Linked DNA regions of Struthio camelus. The protein of the gene in region 1 interacts with the protein of each later gene in a pairwise test. Links are inferred from orthologs where the notes say so. Each region holds a gene or a part of one and is shown on either strand. Other genes may lie near its edges.

Region 1 (7,719 bases):
ACACGCTGTTACAGCTGACAGGCCGTTTAGGATCTTGCTCCTTACCATTTCTCTGTGATTTGAAGGTGTGGGCTAAGCCTTGCCCTGGTCTATCCCTCAGCTGGGTACTTTGCTCGCCACCCTCAGCTTTCATACTCCTTACAAAATACACCTGTCCGTTCCCCCTCAATACGATCTCAACTTTCTGCTCAACGTTTTTCTCAATAGAAAACAGGGTTTTCCGTTAGTCATTTTTCATTTGAAACTTCCACTAACCACAACAATTTTCCACTTTTTTTGAGAAACTAAATGTCCCAAAACAGAAACACCTGACTGTGCTGAATCAGTATCCTGTGGAAGCCGAAAGAGATTTCTCCCTGTCCTTCTCTGTGGCTGCGGCGGGTTGGCCAACCCAAGATACCTTCCCACCCAATGACTTCTGTCCTACACGGAAGAAGAGAGGCTTCCCGGTGCACATTCTGTGCCATCTACGCTGGTACACTAGGACCACGTCAGTGACCAGCTGCCATCGTCCCAAAAGGCTGCTGTCGACATCAGCAGGAGGTGTAAGCCCCCAAATACAAAATCTAGCCCCTCATAACTGCGTGAGTTTGATGTCCCGGCTTCAGGACAGGCTATTAACGTCACTGCTTGCTCCTGGTTTCTTCAGTGCAATGTATCAAGATGCTGTGAAGTAACTGATAAGCAGGTAACTCTTCATGGTTACTTTCACAGCAAGAAGGCAGCTAAAAACAAAGACAACAGTCTTTCCAGAGGTAAGTAAAAAAACCACTACTTACTGACAGAGAAGCTGCGCTCCCTGGCCCATAGGTGCTGGGAACGTGTCGGAAACCTCTTTGCAGCGACATCCCTGCCGGTGGTGGTGCTCCCCTGCAGCCTGATTGATTGATGGCAAATCCCACGGGAAACGGGTGGTAAGGATACACCCCAGAACGCCCAGGGTACACCTTCAGAGGTTCTCTCTCCAGGTACTCTGGGTTAACCACGTATTCTGGAGGAAAAGCCCGGTGAGCTGGGAAACAGTTAGCAAAGAACAAATAGAAGCGTCACTGTAGTGCTGTGGAGTTCAACCGAAATAGCTGCAGGGCCAAATTCCACTCTCAGCCAGGAGCACCTGGCCATTTGGTTTCACGTTTACCCCGATGAACTTCTTTTGTGATCTTTTTAAGGAACTAAGGAAAGGTGCAACAGGCAAACGAACCACTGCAGAAGGAGCTGCAGTCTCTTCTACCCTCCTGTGCATTGTGAAGCTAGTCCTTAGTAAAGCACTGACTGCAGAGTCTTATTCTTTCAGTATAGCCACAACAGCAGGAGAAAACAACCTGCCTTAAGACTTAAATATATCAAAACTAAAAAAAACATATATAGAGAGAGAAATAATATACAGCTCTACATTCAGGACTATTAGCACTTCCAAAGTTAAGAGGCAGAGAAGTCCTCATTTTTAGGTTCCGTGACAAAGAGCGGCAGTTTCAGATGCAGGAATCAACTGCTTCCTTTGGGTTTTTATCTTGTGCCTGAACTCTCACATGGCTTCTCTGATGTCTAAAAAAAAAGGGGCTGCATGAAAATGAATAGGGTCTTTCTTGTCTGCACCATCCCCCTGTTGATGTAGCAGTGGAAGGGTTTGCTTCTCGAATAAATCTACCGGAGTACTATAATTCTGCTGTTTGCCCCTAACTCTGCTTGAAATCGGTCAACAGGTTAAAAATTTTATTAAGGGAAAGACTGACAGGAACATGCACAGCCAGCATGATCCATAAGCCTCATTTCCTTAGGAAACCAAGCCGAAAAAATGGAACAGTTATTGACAGATGAGGTGGGAACTAGGGATGTCTGAAATGACTCTTTTCTCCGGGCTTCTCAGACCAGCATTTTCTTTGTCTTCTAAACTGCCATCTCTCCACAGGCCCACGCTAACGGCTACTGCAGCCTGTCGGGATTTCTGTAAAATTACCACAGTAAATAGTAATAGTCTGAAATTACTATAATAAATAGTAATAGACTAGACAAGTCACATGAAAGACTCTATTAAAGGAAGCAATTTAAGAGGTGACAGACCATACACCTTTTCCATCTGCAAAATCTATGCTCCACTCTTAAATACAAACGCGCTTTTGCACCACGCGGTCCGCGCCAAGCTAAGCCGTTGCTACAGGAACGAAGGCCAAAAGGTCTCCTTCTTTTATGGCGCTATCATAAAACGCGTGCTCTAGGCGACTGCGGCAGTAACTTTGCCGTTTACTTGCCGTTGCTCAGTTTTTTTAAGTGTTTTTCTTGCTGAAGGGACGTGTCTGTGAAGCTGTAAACAAGGGGGCAGCGCTCGGGGACACGTGCGCACGCGCCTCTCTCGCGCAGTTGGTCACAGTTCGGTTTCCCTCCCAAATTTCCCTCCAGAAGAGCAACGCTCCGGCTTTAACTCCCGGCGTGGCAACACTTGCAGGAGCGGAGCAGCTGACCGCATCGCTCCTGCAGCTACAAAGTCGCACGACCCCGGCACCACCGGCACCATCGGAAACGCCGCCGCCGCAGGACAAACACACGCAGCCTCGCTCACCCGGGCGCACGGAGGGAGGGGACGGACGCGGGGGACAGCGGGGCAGGGTGGGGATGGCCGTCGGGGACAGGCGCCGGCGCGACCCTTACCGTAGTCCCAGAGCGGGGCGCCGCCGGGGGCAGGCGGCGGCGGCGGCGGTGGCGGCGGCGGCGGTCCCCGGCGCGCCATGCCCCGGCCGTTGCCTCCGGCCGGCGGGGCGCCCTTGGTGCCCTCGCGGCCGGCCGCCGGGCCGCCCTGCTCGGAGGCGCCGGCCGCCCCGGGGCCCTCGCCGGCGGGCTCGGCGGCCGAGGGGTCGGGCGCCTGCCGCCGCAGCGCCTTCTGGGCCGCCATGATCTTCTGGCGCTCGGAGATGAGGGCGCACTTGTCGCAGAGGCAGAGCTTCCAGCGGCAGTGCCCGGCGTGGCCCTTCACCGGCACCACGAAGCCGTGGTTGCGGCACCGGGAGCACTTGGGCGTCCGCAGAGCCGCCTTCGCCGCCGCCGCCGCCTCCTCCTCGGCCTCCATGCCGCTCCCGGCCCGGCCGCCGCGAGCGAGCTCGCTCAGCCAGGCGCCGGCGACGCTTCTCTTATATATCCAATGGCCGCGGCCCCGGCGTGTAGCGAGCGGGGCAGGCGGGGCAGGAGCCGGCCCGCTGCTGCCCGGAGGCTGGGGGCCGCGGCGCCCGGCGAGGCCTGCCCCGGCGGGGTTGGCGGGGCGGCGGGCAGGAGGAGGCAGGCAGTTTTGGGCAGGCTCCCTTCGGACTGTGTGGAGCGGCGGCGGCGGAGGCGTGTGCGCGGAGGTGTGAAACCCAGAGCCCCGTACACTGCGCGCTTAAATGATCAGTCTTCCCTGTTTGGCGCGCCAGCAGCTGCGCTCCCTCTCTTGCCTCGCATTTGCTTTCAACACAGGCAGCAGTTTCATTTTGTTTCCAATTTGCAGTATCCTTCTCCTGACCAGCAGGAGAGAGGGACTGCTTCAGCAGCAGCAACACACAAAAAAAAAAAAAAAAAGACTATTTCATCATTCTGGTTTTCAAAGCAAGGCTCTGCCGTAAGGGGGGAAAGCACATGCCAAAGACCAGTCTCCTGTTTAGAAGAACTGAAAACTCAGCGCTCCTTAGGCTCAGGAAGCAGGCACAGGTTTGCAACGAGCAACGCAAGCACGCCCCAGCTTCAGCATTGCTCGTAAAACCCTTGTGTTATTTGTTAACTGCTCGTAGCTACAAAAGCAGGCTTTCATACACTAGCCCAGTCCCAGGGCAAAACTCCGCATGGGGCGGTGTGCCGAATGACACTGCTGATTTGCCTCACGCATGCAATAGCTAATTCTGTTTTCAAATCCTGAGATGCTAACAGCTTCTGTAGCGCTACAAAGAATGCTATGAAAATAAACTAGCACCACGCACTTGTGATAAGCTTTTTTTTTCCCCCCCGATCCGTTTCAAGAGCACAAAGTCCCATCTCTCTGCTGCCCCGACGCAATTCTACTAACATGCAACAGGGTCGGCAGCCTTGCAGAAACGCTTGCTGCGGAGCAGCCGGTCCTGCAAGACTTGGGTGCACCACGCTGCCTCTCCGGGCCGGGGCTGCCTCTTTAAGAGATTTAGCAACAGTCTGGTTTGCACCGGCCCTGAGCAGCCAGACCCCCTGGCCCCTGCGAGCCTCAGGGCTCAGCTTGCCTCCAGCCTTCTGACTTGGAAAAGGCCCCTTCGGAGCTTAGCTCTCCTCCAGGAGGAGTTAGCCTCCTGCGGAGTTGTTTACAAGACCCGCTCTCCAAAGCAATTTAGACCCAAATTCTCAAATGCTCGCGAGCTTCTGTCCCTAGGTCGCCCAGCACAGCAGCAATCCCAGCCTGCAGACCTTGGGATCACACGTCTCCCAGACCTCGGGATTTGCCCGTATGCAAATGTAATCAGTATCCTGCCCTCGTAACGGGAATCCTGTTTCCCAGGAAGTCTCCGAGAGGGCTGTTCGGAAAGGCACCTTCGCGTGCATGGGCCCGGGTGCACTGTGGCTAAATAGCTTTGAATGTGTGACCAGAAAATGTTACCATTTGTTCCCGGTTCAGAAAAGCACTTGGTTAATATGTCTTCAATGCAATTCACTGTTAAATGCAGCATTGAGGTGCTGCTTGCTTGTGCCGGGGCCTGAACAGCCGATGATGATCCCGTAATGCTTCTGAACATTGACTTTGTATTAAATACGGCATGCTAGCATATTCCTAGTCTCCTGCCCCATATTTTTGGTATATTTTGAGGATGTGCATATTCAGCTGTAGAATCAAAGAGCGCGGATGACACATTTTAAACAACTGCAATTACATCTTTGCATAGATACACGTTCTGTGTCTGTCTGGATATTTAAATAGTGGAGGAGAAGGGTAGGTTGCGTACAATTTACATAGTAATTTTCAACTCCTATCATACTAATTTTCGAGACATTTGCTCAAACATACTTAACTTCTCTCTCTCCCCTCTCAAGAAAGGTATGCTGGTCATGGGCAGTAACCGTCTTCTCCATACATACACCATAGCTCTGAAAGCCGTGTGGGTTTTTCTTTTGAACAGTTTTCACCGAGGCATTCAGGATTTATTCTGCTCTCCGTATAATTTGTTTCAAACATGACTAGACGTGCTTTCTATAGAAAAGTGAGCATTTTATTTTGTTCGTGAGATGAATATGTATTCCTGCAGACAGTTTGAAGAATTCGGCCGCTCCAGTCTCGTTACGTGTTCATGTATACATTTGAGTTAGCTTATCACACACCATCAGCAAGACTACCGTGCAGAGAAGACAGAGCAATTTGCAAAAATAAATGTTTGGAATGTGATGTAGAATTGTACGTGCATGCAGCTTCAAGTCAATTATCATTTTCTCCTTTGTTCTCATTGGAAAGAAAATGAGGCATACGAAAGACTCTGTTTTCTCCTCTGCTTAGTTACTTTACTGCAATATTTGAGGTATCATATAATGGGGCTGTAACATAAAGTGTGTACAGACGGACTTCTGTAGTACAATAGGATTTATAAGAATTATTATCTTGCCAAAATGAAGGGAAAGCTACCTGCTTGATTTCACGGTATTGAACTCAGTAGCAATAACGTCCCTACTTCTTTCGAGCTTCTGGGTTGTTGAAGTGCATGCTTTTGGTATGCAGGTTGCTTTGTATGTGAAACACAGTAAAGAAAAGCCACGATTTAGGTAGGAACAAATCAAAACACTGGCTGTCTTTAAGCTGAATCGCAGAAAACTGGGTTTGGGGTTTTTCCTCTTTCTCAGACTTTTCAGCTTATATTTTATACAGTAAATGTTTTTGGCAAGGCAATTGCTCTGCTTAGATTTGACATTTCTTACGGCACTAACAACACAATCAAGAAATTTGCTCCAAGGGTGGGCAATTGTGGAAGACTGCTTACGCTTTTTGAAACTGCTTCAGTTATAATGACTAATGTTCAAAAATCACACACAGAAGCTTCTGCTTCGTGATTCTTGCAGTCTGAGATCTCCACGAACAAACATTTGCACTCACCTTGCTTCAAATTAAATGTTTTCATACGCATAGCAGTCAGGAATATCTTTTGAATTTTTAAGACATCACATGCGAAGAGAAAATCCTCTCTTTGAACATTATCTGCATAGTTCAGAAGCTGATAAAAACTGATACAGGAGTAGCATTATCAGCTCTTCTACGTTATAACTGACGAGTCCTTTGTTTATTGCTATCAAATATGATACAATTAACATGAGGACGTTTACCTGCACAAGGAGGACTTTTCTCATGAGGACTAGCCAGGCTTTAGATGCTCCGCACCGCAACACATCCAGTGCCCTTCTGTTATGCATCCTCAACAAATAAGTTGACTTCACCTGCAGATTGGCAACGAATCTCCTGGCATCACTCCCTCTTGGGTGCTGTGGCTCCCTGCACTGACTGATGAAGCTCTCAGGTCAATGTCCTGATGCCTTCCTGGATGTCTCAAGTCAGGTGCGGCCCAGAAAGCCGCACAGAAAGCTGGCTGGCCAGAAAGCTTCTCCAAACAGCCAGGGAACATCAGAGCTCCCTTCCCTATCCTGTTGCTGGGAAGGAAGTGTTTCCGTCTCCGTTTCACAACGTCCCTGGGGTATTAGTTAATTTAAATATAGCTTGGTTCTCCCCACACTGTACTGCAGTTACAGATGTCCTTTCTCCCCATCCACATGGCCAGAAAACCTGTCTAGACTAAAGCAGTCTCCTTTGCCCACAGTTTTTCACTCAGAAGCCTTCCACAAAGCATGTCCTTCTCGATTATGTCATCCTCCCTTTGCATTCCTCCCCCTCTTTTGCATCAGTTTTATCCTACTTCTCTTCCCCGAAGAGAAATCCCTTCCACAGTCTGTCCTCATCATTCCTCTCAGCCCATGTCCCCTGTCAAGATGCGGACTCTCACCTTCACCTGGCCCAGAATATCATCTTTTTAAATAGCACTGAAAACACACCTTCATGCTTTCCTCTGCAGTCACGCTCATGCTTAGGAGAAGATCCTTAGAAAAAGTATCAAAGCCTTTAAAACATCATTCCACTGATCGGCGTTATAGCATGTCTCTTTTACCAGTAAACCTCACACTGCTACGTATCCCTCAATCGTGTCTGTCAAAGAATTGCTAGGATCAGCTGTTGGTTAATATTCTTATGAGGCTGTCTAATCCTGGGCACAGCAAGCCTAGATGACCATGAACATGAGTCTTGGAGTTCCTTCCTTATACTATATTTTCCACTTCTCTAATCACCATGGAATTGTACTGTAGTAAACAGATTTTTTAAAAATGCTAGGAAAAACTTCGGTCTAAAACAGTTCAATACGATTAGATCACACCTACCTTCAGAGCTGAAATGGCCGAAATGCTTTTGGGTTGAACCAGTTTTAAATCTGGTTCCAGTTAACTTGTTTAGAGCCATATGGGCAGATTCACCTTTATGTTATCTTCCGTCATTCAAACGGAAGTTCCATTGGGGTGGATTTTTTTATTGTTATACAGGTTTTAGATGGAGCAGGATTAGATGCTGATTTCCATCTACTGTCTCCAAGAGGTGAAAATCTATGTTTTGGTCAGAGAAAACTGGATGGAGCTCGTACATGAGTTTAAAATCTTCAAAAATTAGAGAAGCTATGCAAAGCATGCTTCTGTGTGTGTGTGTGTGTGTGT
Region 2 (8,079 bases), on another chromosome or scaffold:
CAACATTCCAAAAAGTTTTCTGACTCCACAATACTTCCACCCAATTGCCAACGTAAACAGGAAAAGCAAAAAAGCTTAAAGGGATAGCAGAATTCTTTCTGAAGCTATTTAGAAATACAGATAATTTTTTTTTTTTAAGAAGGGGTGAAGAATAGCTTCAGCACTACTAACTCTTAAAAGAGCGTCTTCTGCAAGAGTCTCCACATCCCTCATTTTTGGATTCTAATACTTCACAAAACAGAGATTTCCAGAGCTTCCTGAATTTAAACAATCTCAAAAGATGCAAGGCTCTAGACATTCCTTTTTTCCCCTGTGTCCTTTCCTTATCTGGGACGTTTCTCTTCCTTTTGTTCTTTGACAAAATAAGTTTGAGGCCTTCTCTGGCTAAATACATAAACTTCAAGAGATTTAGGAATTAAAAAAAAATTAAAATGTATGAAAAGCTCATTTGTGCTAAAAAGTCTTCTTGGTCAAGTTTCTTCTTGATGTTTATTATAAACCTTGCTAATTATTCCAAATATGTCATGTTCTCCATCACCATAGAAAACATGTTCTAAATAGCAGAACACACAGATTTGAAAAGTAAAATTTATAGTGAATTTACAGCTTATCAAATTCTTTAAAAGACGGACTACGGGAAGCTATATATGGGGAGATTCTATTTTTATGTTAATATTCTCTACTTGTTTTTTTTTTTTAAAAAAAACTCCTCTATCATTTATTTCAGAAAGTCGAGTTTTCTCAATATGCTATTTTCTGTTGTACTCCAGTTGCTATCTCATTTTTACAGTCTTTGGAGAGGGCGGGGAGTTGTTCTATCAAATATAACCAGCTCTTTCATCTTCCGAGGTCAACAACTTCCCAAAGTTCGTTTAACCAGGAGGAATACGGCTACAAGCAAAAATCCTAACTCAAAATCTCGAAACTCAGTATTTCATGCTAAGATTCTCAAGAAGTTGAAGCTGCATAAGTAACTTCTGTTTTTATTCGGTAGCTTTATAAAATTTGTAGAGTTAAACAGTTCTCACTTTCCGGAAAGCCAAGGTTTAGATGGTAGGGAAGGAAAATCTTTTAAAAAGAAAGGCAAATCTGTGAACCCAAACAAAGCTAATCCAATATACCAAGAAGAAATGGGTCGCCTTATTTTCAACACAGTAGTCTGCCACTGTAGGGGAAAACGTATGGGACGCATGAAGTTTCTAGCTTTTAACGTATTTCAAAACGTAGCCATATATTTGTAAAGACGCACCCTTAAAAGAAGCTATTAAAAAAAAAGTGGGGGGGGGGGCGCCAACCCACATGAGCGGCCTCTCATCACTTCGAAGCAGGAATTGGGTGCGGGGCTGCAGACGGCGCCGGGGTTAGAGGCAGCAGTGGACGTTTGGCAGCAGCAGAGGAGGCAATTTCGTAATTTCTTTTTTTCACTAAAGTCATACGTAGGAGTCTTTCAAGTTAGTTTCTTTAAAAGGTAAGAATAGCCGACAGTCGAATTCGCTCGCTTCTCTTGCAATATAGGAAAATTGTAATTAGTTTGTGGCCAGTTTGGGGTGGGGTAGTGCTGGAGCTGAAGAAAGAGCTCGGCCCCCTCGGCCTTAGTCATTCAAGTTCAAGCAGCTTCCAGAACAGCCAAATCTCGAAACCAAACACCCTCCCAACCCCCTTGCTCCAGGCCCTCCGAGCGAGTCGGCTAACACTCCCACAAAACGCACCGCACAGGACCCTTCTCTTCTCCCAATACTTTCCGCCGTGAACGGGGAGCCACGCAGCGTTGCAAACAACGCTTTCCCCTCCTCCCCTACCTTCCCCCAAAGCACATTCCTGAGCTCCTCTCCTCGTCTCTACTCGCTCCCTCCCCTCCATGTGGTAGTCACCCTTCCCCCGGTTTTAGGAGACAGCGCGGAAAAAAAAACAACCAACAACAACAACAAAAAAAAAAAAACAGGGACCTGTACACTCAGGGCTCCCTCTTCCCCTCCCACTCTCTCGCCAAGTCCCCCAATACCACAAGCCAGGAATCAGGGCGGGGAGATCCCACACTTCCCCTTTGTTTTAAGGGCTCAGGCGAGGGCCGAGAACGAGCGATGAACACCAGCGAGAGAAAGAGAGAGGGAGAGGCAAACAGGCCCCAAACTCCCCACGGCCACCCCGGGCCTGTCGGGGCAGGGGCGAGGGGGCAGAGCGGGAGCCCGAGAGCAGCCTGGAGGCCCAGGCAAGGGGTGGGGGAGGCAAGGCAGGGCGGCGGAGCGGGAGAGAGGGGGCAGGGAAGCGCTTTTACCTTCGTCCAGCAGCCTCTCGAGGTGGTTGAAGATCCCACAGAAGTTGGGGAGGCTGCTCATCAGCTTCTTGTCGTTCATGAGCTGCATCAGGTAATCGGGGCTCGGCTTCGGCTTCTCCTTGGTTTCCATTTCCCCAACCATATTCCAAACGCGCGCAGAGACGGCGAGCGCCCGCACCAGCTCCGCCGAGCAACGCGACCGCGGCACGGGGCGCCCGGCTGGATCCGAGCGGGCAGGGAGGTGGTGGGGGAGGGGAGGGGGCGGGGAGGGGAGCTTCCCCGAGGAAGGAGGAGAAGGAGGAGGATTCAAATCCGGAGACAAACGCAAACCGGCCGCCGAGTCCAAGGGACCGAAAAAAAGAGGAAACTCGACAGAAACCCCCTCGCGGGCTGCGCCCTCCTCCCCGGGCACAAGGACCCGCCGCCGCCTCTTCTCGGTGCTGCTGCCGCCGCCGGGGCCGCTTCCCTGCTCCGTGCGCCCTCGGCCGGCGCAGTCCTCGATGTGTTCCCCCCCTCCTCCTCCTCCTCCCGCGCACACACACACGCTGAGCCCGGCTTCTCTCCTCGGCGCTGCCCGCTGTCTCCGCGGCGGGGGAGGGAGGAGGGGGGCCGAGCGGGGCGGGCGGGCGCTGCTGGCGAGGCTGCCGCTTCCGAGGAGCCGCCGCCGGTGTTTCTTCGCTGCTGCTGCTGTTGCCGCCGCCGCTGCTGCTGTTGCCGCCGCGCTGCGCCTGGTGTGTCCTCTCCGCCTCCCGCCGGCCCGCCCGCCCTCCCGCCGCCGCCGCCGCCGCCGCCTGTGGCTGGTGAGTGTCAGCCCCGCCGCCGCCTCCTCACTTCTCCTCAGTTCGCTCCGGAGTTCGCTTCAGTTCAGGCTGCGCTGGCAGCGGCAGCAGCAGCGGCGGCAGGAGGAGGGGAGGGGGCAGGGCCCGCGGGGGTGGGCACACGCCGAGGGGCGGGCGCAGGGGCGGGGCGGCCGTTAAGCGGCGGTGGCAGCGCCGCTTGGCGGAGCCAACCGTCGCTCCCTTTCCGCTCCGAGCCCCTTGGGCGGCGGCGGCGGCCGCAGCTCGGCGGGGGGAGGGGCGGCGAGCCGCGGGCCCGATGCGGAGGAGGGGGGGTATCTCTCCCCCGGCCCCGCCCCTCCGAGCGTGTGCGCGCGGATAGGTGGCGCAAGCGCGCGGGCGCGGCGCGGAGCGTCGCGTGCGGCTCCCGCGCCCCTCCCCTCCCCCCCCGCCTCCCGGCTGGCTCCGTAGAAACACGCGCGCGCACAGAAACTCTTCTAAACAAAGTCCTGTTACTTCACCGATTCCGCGCGGGGGGGGGGGGGGGGGGGGGGGGAACTGGGTCACGTGGGTACCCAAGGGGCGGGGACGGGCCGCGCCGAGACGCGCGTGCGCCTTTCGTTTACAACGCGGCTGCCGCCTCGCGCGGCAGAGGGGAAACGAGCTGGGCGGGGGCGGGGAGGGGCGGCTGACTGCGTCGCGCATGCGCCCGCGGGCTGTGGGCGGTGCGCGTGGCTGCGCGGCACGAGGAGCAATTTCTAATCCTTAAAGCGGCCGTGGGGGCAGGAGGAGAAAGCGGCGCGGGGCTGAGGTACTGGGGGCCGCGGCCGGGTTGGAGGGAGCTCCCTGGCAGTAGGCCTTGCGGGACGGCGCTGTGACCAGCCCCCGGGGGAAGGCAGAGGAGAAGGGGGGGGGTGTAGCGCGCCCCCTCCCCCCAGCCACCCCGCTGGGACAGGTGGCGTGTGCCGCTCTCCGCGCGCTGCGGGAGCGGTTTAACGGCCCCGTTCGAACGGCGCGGAGCGGACCGTTGCGGGAGGCGCTGGCTGGCTGGCTGCGCTGGCGCGGGGCGAAGGAGGAAGACAGGCGGTGCCGGTCTAGCCTTCCAGACGCACGCCCCCTCCCCCCCCCCCCGCGAGCCCGACCGACGCCGGAGAAGCGGCGGCCCCCGCACCCGGCGGGTGCTGCTGCGTTGTGCCGCGTGCCAACGGCACCATCCGCCCGCCTCGGCGCTCCGCGGCCGCCAGCAGCGCCCGCGGAGGCTGGGCCCGGCTCGGTCCTCGGCAGCGCGGACCACCGTGCAGGTCCCCGGCGCGGCACTGCCCCGGCGCCCGAGCCTTACCGGCAGGGAGTTGGACGCGAATCACTCGAAGCTTGTTTGGGGGGTTTGGGTGGGAGACGTGATGGGAGAAGCAGAGTCTGGCAGCCAGAATCAAAATTAACGTGCTCCACTGTAGCCGCAGAGGCAAAGCAGCTTGACGCGATTGTTTGTATGTGTTCCTGGTCGTCGTCGCCTTCCCCATGCTGCTACTTGATGTTCTTGTTTGATTTTTATTATTTAGGATATCATCAGAAGACCTTGATGCAATTATAAGTAATTTGGAAGAACTTATATTATAAAACTGGATAAAATATTTTCCTTTCACACTTCTTCTAGTTCACTGAAATCACGCAGTCATTGTTCATGTGCCTTGCCGTGCAGTGGCCCCTGCTGTACGCGTATATATGTCTAGATACTGCTTGTTGTAGGAGTATATGAGTCTAGATATTGCTTGAAGTTGATACAGAATTCATATGTAATGTCATATGTACCGCACAGTATTTGAAGAAAATTGAAAAACTGAGTTCATCATAAGTACTTCTTCCAAAACTAAAAAGAAGCACAACCGCATTGTCTTCTTGACAAGTGTGCAGTTTTATTGGGTGTTGTCAAGCACTGCTGTTGTACTTTTTCTAAAAGATACGCATTGACAAAAATTTAGAGAAAGTGTAGCTCTCGTATTAGTAAAACTGCCTTAGATTATTGCGTCCTTTCTGTTGCATGTTGGATTCTTCTGTTGTAAACATTTAGAACTCTTTAAAACAAGAGAATTTTTTGGATTTATGCTATGTAATATTTATTTACTTATATAAGATAAGTCATATTTATTGGTTGCATCATTCAAAAAACACAACCCCTGTATACTCAAGTAAAAACACCTACTAGTTTTATTACCAAGGAGAGAGTAACAATGTTATGAGCTGGTTTTTTCTTCAGTTTAGATTCTTAGTCCATGAACAGCATGCCTGAAGTACGCTGCAGTATGGCTATGGATCACGAAACAATACCCCATTTAATAATGAAGATACAATTGCTTTTTTTCCCCCCCTCTTGCTTTAAAGTTGTGCCTAAAGCCAGAACACACCTTATAGGCCTAACAAAACTGTCATCCCTGCATGTCATCATTGCAGATCAGTCTGAAAGATGATGCATTTGCTTGTAGCCATTTATTTACTTGTTTTTCACCCAGTGAGTGAAAGCTCTTTATAACCCTAAGAAAACTTGTTATTAAATCCTTCAATTTGATTAAGGATATCACTCAGCCAGCAGTCCTTCATGATAAAATGAGATGAACTTAGATAATATCAGAATAATTGTTCTGGAGTGCCAATTCTCATAGTAAAAATAGCAAATGGAGACTTTTTTCCAGCAGATTTAGTGCAGCTGTTCCCAGTGCTCCCTGCACATAAGGTGCTTACAGTGTGTGAATATGCACAGAGAAAACAAGCACATAATTTAAGGTAAGAAATGCTAGCAAAAGTTATTGAATGGTAACTGCCAGTTGTTTTACTTACCAATAGAAACAAAACAGCTCATCCCTAAGCTATGTTACATTATTTAGCGGGGAATAAGATGATGCACACCAGCAGTTACTGAGGAATAGCTATTGCCTTGCAAAATTCAAGCTCTAGTTTACTCTGTGTTAATCTGATTTGTCTTCTCGGTCTAAATAGTGCAAAAATTGAGTCAAATCTATGTGCTGAAACTGCCAATATAATTAGGCATAACTGACTTAGGAAAAATTCTCATCCTTCATCTTTCCACAAATATTTTTAAGACTGTGAATTTTTAATTCATTGGGAAGATACCTTCAGAGAAGCTAAATGTTTTGGCAATAAGTATTGCAGATAGCTCACCATTAGTTTTAAATAAGCACATCAGTGTGACATCTTACTTTATCACGTATACAGTAAAAACAAAGTTATCTAAAAGTCTTTCCAAGCATACCTTCTCATGTTCCTCTCTGTCTCTTCGTTCCTGCACTTCCATGCCCCAGAAAGGGGATTTTAAGAGTGCGTGGAAGACGCAGGTAGAAGTAGTTCTGGTTAAAGGGCTGTGAAACTCAGAGCTCCCATGAAGACTGACGTGCCTGGAGCCTGATCTACAGAGGAGCTAGAAATGCTGTTGCACTGTACTGGATTTTGTTACTTTCCCATGAGGGGAAAAATATGTGGACTTTTTTTGTTTTTGTAACCAGATCCTATTTATAGTTCTGTAGATAACAACCCAAAACTTTAAATTCTGTGGGGACACAAGCAGAAATACAGATCTTTAACCCCTGTGCTTTCATCTAGGTAGCCCTTCCTGTACCATTCAAGCTGCAGTATTCTCCAGCAGTTTCTCTTTTAAGGGGTGAAGTTTTATTGCGTTAATCTAATCTTGAAATAAGAAAAACTGTGATAATTCCAGCAGCAGCCTCTGCGTATTACAGTAAAGCCCTTGCACTGATCATAAAAAGCAAACTCAATTACTGTTATAACATTCATATCTGATAGCAGCTTGGGAAATAGGAGAGCTGAAGGCTGATGACTACTGGGAAACATACTCTTTCAGTTAATGTTGGCTGTTGCTTCCACTGTTTCTGTTGGTTGTGTCTTCCAGCCTATAAGCCTACTAGTCTGTAATCTCTTCTACGTGCTAACAGAGGCACTAGACCAAGTCATAGGCATTTGCAGCTGGACATCATCAGCTTTCTGCAAATACTATCTGAAACAGTAAGGTAACAGTACCTCCCTTCTTTAGGGAAAGAAGCAATTCTTCAATTACCCCTTACGGTCACTTAAGGAAAAAGACCACTTTAGGTGCGTTTGTCATCCAGTATTGACTTGTTTGTGGTATATAAAACACTGCATTTGGGATGCAGCAGTTAGACATGGCCACTACCAGGTGGACATTGAATCTTCATTGATCTCTGGAAGGTGATTAACATGTGAATGGAGTAAGATCTAGAGCCAGACTAAAAAGCTCAAGAAATCGACTGTAGTGATACTGTGATGCGTCCGAAAGTCTCTTTAAAAAACTCTTTCATTTGCCTGTGTTATTAAGATGTCAGATAACGTCTCAAACAAAAGCCATAGTACTGCATGGTTCAAAGTAATAAGCAAAGGGCCTAGTATTCATAGCCAAAAAAGGGGAAGAGTTTAAAAAACAAAACAAAAACACCTGAAAGTCTGTGTTGCAGTCCTCGAGTTCATTACATATTAATGTTAAAGCTTACCTGTCTATTCCGCATGCCTGGTGTATCCTGGCTGTAGAAATGGGCGCTTAATCCAGCTGGAGTGGTGTCTTTAAACAGCAGAGAGTTGAAGAGATGTCTGAGTTCTGTTTAAATCTCAAGATAAGCTTGATCCATTAAACATAGCCTGGTTGTAACAGGTAGACCTAGGTTCCATTGCTGCATGTAGTCCCGGAAAAGATAATGCGTCATTTTTGCTCACCAGCAAAGTGGTCACTGAAGATATGGAAGATCTGGGATTTAAGCATACTTTAGTCTGGAAGGATTCAGATCTGCATCTTCTATACCTAAGGCACTGTAATCTGTACAGCAGCTGGGAAGAGAAGGGTAGTATGCCTGAAAATCTCTGCTGTTGGAACTGAGCCATTCCACAGGTTGGAGTAAAGGTGCCAGAAGAAGACTGTGATTAGCCTACTTATGCAAGAGTAGAAAGACCTATATTCTGCTCTCTCCTCCTCAGGTTATTTAGTGATTA

The links.
Region 2: the proteins of DMRTB1 (region 1) and QKI interact in a two-hybrid assay, tested with the Homo sapiens proteins (2 studies listed by BioGRID). The link is inferred for Struthio camelus from reciprocal best matches to the Homo sapiens genes DMRTB1 and QKI.

Annotation. Positions count from the first base shown.
Region 1 is NC_090949.1:32,201,538-32,209,256, reverse strand, and holds the start of DMRTB1 (doublesex- and mab-3-related transcription factor B1), read right to left. Parts: upstream 3,062-7,719; coding exon 2,647-3,061; intron 1,013-2,646; coding exon 780-1,012; intron 1-779.
Region 2 is NC_090944.1:86,806,059-86,814,137, reverse strand, and holds the start of QKI (KH domain-containing RNA-binding protein QKI), read right to left. Parts: upstream 3,098-8,079; 5' UTR 2,418-3,097; coding exon 2,276-2,417; intron 1-2,275. UniProt on the Homo sapiens protein: RNA reader protein, which recognizes and binds specific RNAs, thereby regulating RNA metabolic processes, such as pre-mRNA splicing, circular RNA (circRNA) formation, mRNA export, mRNA stability and/or translation.